2 linked regions of the Drosophila melanogaster genome follow. The protein of the gene in region 2 purifies or fractionates together with the protein of the main gene of each other region. This does not show direct contact. Each region holds a gene or a part of one and is shown on either strand. Other genes may lie near its edges. The genes, in order: P32 and Chchd2.

What was found.
Region 1: the proteins of Chchd2 (region 2) and P32 purify together in Drosophila melanogaster (affinity purification with western blotting, with the first as the bait; one study listed by BioGRID). This does not show direct contact.

What each region holds. Positions count from the first base shown.
Region 1 is NT_033778.4:17,670,684-17,674,535, forward strand, and holds P32 (P32), read right to left. Parts: upstream 1,958-3,852; 5' UTR 1,852-1,957; coding exon 1,647-1,851; intron 1,527-1,646; coding exon 1,182-1,526; intron 1,124-1,181; coding exon 882-1,123; 3' UTR 626-881; downstream 1-625. Other genes in the region: IBIN (induced by infection), read left to right, coding at 417-542; Sema1b (semaphorin 1b), read right to left, coding at 3,627-3,825.
Region 2 is NC_004354.4:17,147,311-17,151,354, reverse strand, and holds Chchd2 (Coiled-coil-helix-coiled-coil-helix domain containing 2), read right to left. Parts: upstream 2,355-4,044; 5' UTR 2,219-2,354; coding exon 2,172-2,218; exon of another isoform or gene 1,879-2,171; intron 1,522-1,878; coding exon 1,056-1,521; 3' UTR 708-1,055; downstream 1-707.

The sequences.
Region 1 (3,852 bases), on a different chromosome or scaffold from region 2:
TATTTAGTGAATGTTTTATAAATAAGTTCAAGTAGCGAACTATAAAAAATGTTATATTCAGACAGAATCCGTCTTTGAGTTTCTTAGAAGTATATACAAGCCTATGATTAGGTAATGGTCGCAGTTCTTATTATTGGTCGTATAAAAAAAAGCTTTTTAACGAAATATATAAAATCCATCTTAATGACAAAGTATGACATTACATGGCCTCCACGCTGATAATCCTGCTTATTGTGAAACAATAACACATATAGGTCGTACATTAATGGTAAATCCCATCGCCCAATAAACAGATCGGAGTACTTCCCCAAGAGAAAGGTCACTATTTCAACGATAAGGTGAGGCAATCTCACCTATAAAGAGGAGCATTAAAAGCTGCAGCACCACAATCTAAAGTTAACTTGCCGTTAATCAAGATGCAACTGCTGCCAATCCTCGTGCTCCTCGCTCTCCTCATCTGCGCCGCCTGCAAGAACCACGAGGACTGGGGAGGATACCGACCAAGTGACTACGATCCCAGGCCATATTTCCGGCAGTTCTAAATGATCACGAAACTCAACCCACAGGAAAATCTTTACGAAAAATCGATGCAACCATAGAAAGAAAATAAACAAAAAAAAAAACTAGGGAATTAACGTTGTATTTGTTAAAAACCAAAGCGAAGCTGATGCCGAAAAGGGTGAATTATTGGCAACCGTTTCTATAGTTTTATCTGAAACATGTATGAATGTTTTATGGCTTAAAAACTAAGTTTCACTGTCACAGTTAAACCAAAAACACAACTAATAAAAACTGTTTTAGGTGATGAAACTGCGACAGCAGACAATAGAAACTTAAAAACCTACACAACTTTATGCTTTAAGATTAAGTGGGACGAACATTCACTTGCCACCGGCAGTGAATTTGGAGAGCTTTTCCAGCAGACCAATGTAGGAAGTGTGCTCATGGGCAGTGGCTAGGTCCGACAGTTTTTCGGCAAACTCCTGACTGATGCCCTTCTCCTCCAGCAAGTTGATCAGCAAGTCGTACAAGTAACCGTCAAGCACGTCGCCTGCGACGGCGTAGACCTTATCGTTCCACTCGCCCTCGAAGATGGCCATTTCATCAATGGAGAAGACATCGTCTGAAAGGTAAAACCTGTGTTATCGGTGAATCAAAACGATTTCTGTCAAAGTACTCACTGTACTCGCCCTCCTGAGCTTCGCCTTGAAGGAAGCTGCAGGTAAAGGACAGCGTAGAGTTGCCCTTTATGATGTCCACCTCGAACTGGGGCTTGCTTCTCATTTCACCGAGATCCGGCTTGTCAGCATTGGGGTTGATTTCGGGCTCCTCCTCGCTGTCCACCGTATGGTTCACATTGAAGCTGACCACCACCTTTTCCTTATCCGTCTGCTTGGTGAGCTCCACATCGGCGCCGGTCAGTTTTACGGCGAATCCATCCAGGGTGCTTGGCACCGTCTTGCCCTTTTGAACCTTGCGCTCGGCCACTATCTCCTCGGTGAGGAACTCCACCAGTTCCCGCTCACCTGGATATAAACAAAGCGTTTAATTTTCTGTGTTTTGGTCAACATTTCGTCACCCAACGTTTGAGGTTATGTAACCGGCGGCATGGACCGCCCATGTAAGAATTTGTTGAGTTAACTTACATTTGGTGTGCACGTTGCAGCCGCACGTGCAATTAATGCTGGGCTTGTGGAGATTCAACACGGTTACATGATCGGATCCTCCGGCTGTCACCGGCTTTTTGGTCATGTGCCACAGGCTGCGGGTGAAATCGCGCTTGCCGAGAGATCCGGCACTGGAGCTGGCCAGAGCGGCAAATCGCATGGTTGCTGTCCTTAGGCTGTTCATTTTGTTATATAACCGCGACCTGGGCTTTTTACTTTAATTAAACACTGAAATGTGCAACACGCCAAAAGTGTAGTGCCTGGTGTGACCGTTGAATCTTATTCAGAAAATCACGAGGCTGATGTATTGTAGAGCCATATCAGAAGTTATCGATCATTTTTCGGCGCGAAAGGCTTTATCGTAAACTATTCAAATTTTGAAATTAGCCTTTATTGGAAAAATGATTGATTTCAATAAATATAACCAAACCATATTTGCTGTAAAAATTCAATGTTTCATAGATCCGAACCTATTAAAAGACCACATTGAGTTATGAAAAAAATGACGACTTTATTAGATTTACGAATTGCTTATCGGATGTATACAACAATATACACATTACAAGGACATACACAGTAATAAAAACTAAACACCATGAAGGGTTTTCTCTGGTTCTTGATCCTCCGAGTGGAAGACCCATTCCTACGCAATATTATCATGCATGCAATCAGACTCGTTCGTCATATATATCATTGTTTTTCAACCAAAAGGCATATCATTTCATCTTTCTAAAATTTCAATAAAATCTATCACAATATGAGAAATCATTACATTACGTTTTTTTTTGTAAGATTTAAAAATATTTTATATATAGCTTTTATCGGGATTTTCCATTTTTAAGACTTTCTTATGTTAAGATTTAGACATTAGGCGTACATATACGTATAAAAATATATTAATTACGATGAAAATTGCATTTTACACGTTTTAAAAATAAAATTGCCATTGTACATTGTATTTATGCAACTTCTTTAGTGGGACGGACAACAGCTTAGAAATTAAACATAAAATTATTAAAATGCTGATTTACGTTGATTGCCAACCAAGCTCATTATTTCCATCCAAAGCTTACAAGTTTAGCGTTAAGGCCTAGATTCGACACGATTTTATACTATTTATAAGGCTTGCTGTTGTTGCAGTGTTCATTTATTTTCGCTTTCTTGTGCGTTTTTCCATCTGATGATGTGGGGGCTGCGGTGTCAGTTCTTATCAAACAGCCTCATAGAAGTTTTCTTCGTTTCTTAGCCTAGTTCGTACTTTTAATTACATTCTATGTTCAATTCCTTATAGAGCTTATGTTAGATACAATTTTACGCTTTTGTTAGCCACAAAGCATAGAGCTTTAAAGTCTCTGTCGCATTCTGTTAGTTCTCCACAAAACAAACTCATATAGAATAATTAATCATTCAGTCTAACAAAATACTTGTTGAATATTCGATTGAATTTCGAGAAATAATTGGGGCTGGTCCGCTTCGGGTTCGATTTCGGTATGCATGATATGTGATTAAATTTGTACAGCTCTAATATTTGCACTTAAAGATTATACATTAAGAGTACACATAAGGGGCGACACAATCGGGCTGCGTAGCCAAGAGCCGGCACTCCTATTTTGGACAGCAAAGGTCGACGTCAGGGGAATGCGGAATGCTTCGGGTTAGCTCCAGGCTGCGGCAGCCCGCACACTACGTTGTCAATAAATTTAACTAAATTTTGACAAAGAAACTAAGCTTACGCAAATTTTACATCAAATTAAATTACAATACAAGCTAAGTAAAAAAGACGCAACAGCTCTGCTTCCTATCTTTCGGATGCGTTTCAAACGCATCCGAGACTGTCGTTTACATTATTCGCAAATTGGGTGGGGGGTTACTATAACTAACAGCAACATAAACAACGAAAATATGTTTTAGAGTATAGAAATTCGACTAATTTTGCAGTTGGCTGCCCTCACAAGGCCACTAGATGTAAGTGCGTTTCACTTTTGTCAGCGTTGACGTTTTGCAGGGCAGCTCTTTTTCCAAATGTTCCGTGGAGTTTTTGCACTCATGACTGCGATCCTTTTCTAAATCCAGATTAGGTGTTTTTTGTGTGGTCGTATAGGCATTGGAGCCCATTAACAGGTTGATGTCTTTGCCAGTATTTTGATGTTTAAATTGCCTGTCAAAACCATTTAATTAGAATTGT
Region 2 (4,044 bases):
TTACATACGTATTGCCCCATTACAAAAAAATTGTTAATCCTAAAAATCAATACGCTGCAAAATTATGAACAGTGATGACTCTATGTAAAAATTATTGAATAAAAACGGAAACATGAATGTCTCGAACGCAGGGATTAGTTCATAATATTTTTTTGGGTGGTAATTTAGGGAACCTTTTAAACAGTTCTTAACTTTTCAAAATTACGTTTCCACGGCAAATATTTCATAAGACCATTAATAAGATCTATGACTAATCGCTCGTTTAACCATGAATATGTACATCTGTATGTGTATAGCATATAATAGAATATATATGCTATATAACCCTTCATTTATAACTAAACAGCAAGTAGGTAAACATGTTTATCATATTTCCCATTTGTTTACCACCTAATTTCAACAAAACAAAGCGCATTGCAATCAAAACACAAGAAAAGCTGAAATGAAAGACACGTGACAATGAAAAAGGCGAAAAGGGGTTCCCATACAAATGTATAGGGAAATGAATCGATTTTCCTATTTATAGAAGTGCAATGTCACCAAAATTATTTTTGGCAACCGCATGCAGCCACATTTCACAATAGAATGCAAATTTTGCATTTTCCAGAAGGAGGAAAAGGGAAAGTTGCATTTTTTCTAGAAGCTTCTTGAAAAATGAATATTTCAAAGATTTTCTTGGCTCCTTGTTTAGACAACAATTATAACTTGATATTAACTTATGCATATATTTATATTTTAAACAATAAAAACTCTTGGAAACTTCGTTTTGTTTTGGCCCACATTGACAACCCGTGGGGTTTGGTTTCTTTTTTGTTTTGTTTGTTTGTGTTTTTTTTTGGAAAGGGTTTTGGGCTGCCAACGGGATTTTCTATTTAACATTTCATTTTGCACTACAATTAAACAATGCTTTCTTTCAGATGCTTGCAATTAAACAATTAAGAACTAAACGAAGGGATAGGACAGAGTTCATCCGGAGGTGTTCATCCGATGGGTTCATCCGGCTGCGTTCATCCGCCGGTGCTTGGCCAGATGATATTCTACCGGAGCTGGGCCCTCTACTGGAGATGGTGGCTCTGCTTGCACTGCCGCAGCGCCTCGTTGAATCCCTCGCAGAGGGTAAGATCCGCCTGACCCTGGGCGCACTGGATGAACTGTTTGAGCTCCCAGGCGCAGGCTCCCTGCGGCTCATTGGGCTGCTGCTGCTGGGCGTAGTATGGCTGCTGGGGGGCAGGAGCGGCTGCCGCCGGAGCGGGAGCAGCGGCCTCCTTGTCGCCAGATCCGCTGAACAGCGAGGTCAATCCATGACCCACGGTGTGTCCAATGGCTGAGCCCACGGCCACGCCTCCAGCGGTGGCGGCCATCTGCTGGAACATCGATGGCTGCTGCGGTGCCGGCATGCCGACGGCACTGGGAGGAGCGCTCATGGGCGCCGGAACAGGGGCAGAGGCGGCCGGTGCTGGGGCACGTGTCTGGACAGGAGCCGGGGCCGGGGCGGGGGCACGGGCCTGCACAGGTGCGGTGCTGTTGGGAAAACAGAAGCAATCAGTTGTTATTGTGGACTTTGCTCTGGAGTGTCGTTGATCATTCCGTGACGAAATTGAAGGGTCTTTGTGTTGAAAACAATGAACTATACAAATTTAACTAATTCCTAGGATTTTTAAAGGACTTTATTTTATATCTACTGCAAAAGTAGGTAATATTTTTATATTCCTATGCAAATTCTTGTTTTCTTTATAATAAGCCAAATTGTATAAACATTTGAATATTTTACTTTTTTAACGCAAAATAAAAACATGTGATGTTTTTAATTTAATAAATCAATGGCCTGGGATATATATATATATTTACATAGAACAATAAATTTAGTAAATTTCTTACAAAAATGGATTTTATGAGCACTTTCGTAATTGAATAAGTAGCCAGATTTAGCGGGTCTTCCGCTAGGAGGACAGCACCAATAAAACATCCCATGTTATTGGGAATCCTCTTATTTTTAAGGTTACGTAACCTTAACCCATTTCGGGGGCCGGAAAAAGCGGCGGAAGTGAAATTCTGTCCATGAGATAAAGCCAGATCATCCGATTGATTGGTCGGTGATTACGAAATGAATTTCCTGCCGGCGCTTTATCCAATTTCCCCCGAATTTTCTTTGTTTTTCGCGACTGTCTTACCGACGAGTGGAGGGCGGGGGACTGGCTGAACGTCCACGGCGAACCATTTTGTTTGTTTTATTTGTTTTTCTATTGATTCGGTTTCACGCAAGAATTTTATTCTCAACAGTTGTTGCTGTTTTGATGACGAGCTAGTAACTGAAATTCCGAAATAATCCCAATTGGACGAGAAACTTCGGCCTGCTGCCAGTGTGGCCGGAGAAAATACCGAAAAATACTAAGGCATAAGGTGTAAACTATCGGATATAGAATGTGCCAGAAAAGTTAATAATATGGGTAAATTCTTATGATTAAAAATATATTTTACTAAAGTATTTGGATATTGTATTCGTGTAAAAACGTTTTACCACCCTTAAATTTACTATGTAATATAGTAAAATTTTTGTGTATTTTATATATCCCATATATATAATCTTTACATACCACATATTTTTTTCCACTTACAAAATCAAATAAAGAACTATATGTTATAAATATATATGCATTACGATTTAAATAACTTTTTATTTTACAGTCAGTGAAATAATAACATTTAATACTCAAGCATATCAAAATTTCTATAAGGTGACCGTAATAAAGAAAATTTGGCATGCGAATTTCAACTATCGCCACCCGTTGTGACTGGCAAAACCGCGAAATGCCGCATATCGATAGAAAGTTCGAAATTTGTCATTAAAAAAGTGGCTTAAAACTAATAGTATGCCTGAAAGCAGGGTATATTTCTATGAAGTACATATAAATGTGCAACTCAAGTAGCAAACGCGTTCGAAAAAGTGATTAAGTCGAGGAATAATCCCCACTCATGGCCGCCTATCTCCGTTCGATAGTTCACTTGTTGCGCAGCCCTGGCAGCCGGAATGCAACCGTGTGCGTGTCGGCGGAAGCGGACTCTCTGGCGTTGCTGCACACTGCCGTAACATGTTCTTTTTCAGGCGTTTGCCTTTGCGCTGACATCGTATCTCGATTTCTTCTGTGACAAAGTAAGGGATTTTCAACGTTTAATTGTGTGGATTGTGGCCAGAGGATGGCCAAAAGACGGCTAAACGCTGGCAACTAGTGTGGATACTAAGGGTTTTGTGAATTTACTGCGGCAAACTGCGGAATATTGCCATTTCCACCGAAATGAGGTTAAAAACGGGCGGCTTTTTGTTTGTGTGTGTGCGCGCGAGTGCAACTGTGTGTGTGCGTCACACGTGTTTGTTTCCCCTTTTTTTTTGTATATTTTTTTTATCTGCTTGCAGCGCAAGAATATGTTTAATACAATATACATCCACGTATATTGAGCCAATTATCCAAAAGGATAACCTTCAAGAAAGTATAAACCCTTAAAAACTCGCAATTCAACAACAACAACGCGCGTGTGTTTTTTACGGTGCTTATGCGTGTGTGTGTGTGCGTATAGCGCCCATCTACAGTTTAAAAAAAACGTGTTAACGCAGGAAAACTACTTAAATATGTATTTAAAAGTTATTGTGACCCTTTTTGTATACTTAAACGTAATCTTCACTGAAACTTCCGTCTTTCATAAACCTTGGAACTTTTTTTGTAGTTTATTTTTGTTTTAAGACGTTTTTAAGATTTAAAAACGAATGTTAAGGCTCTAAAAATTATTCGTATCAGTTTATCACAGCCTTTTCTTGGGTTTTGTATTTGTAAAAGAATTTTTCAAACGAAATCTAGTTAAAGTTATAAACAATTTGTATGTGTATAAAATTTGTACAAAAGGGACGATGTTTCCATAAACAAATACTGAAAAACACGTTTCTGTAAAACTTCTAGGTGATGTTCAAGCCATACAATGATGTTCAATAATAGAAGTTAGCTTATTAAAATCAACGAACAAATACCATTAACCAACCATTAATGAATGTCT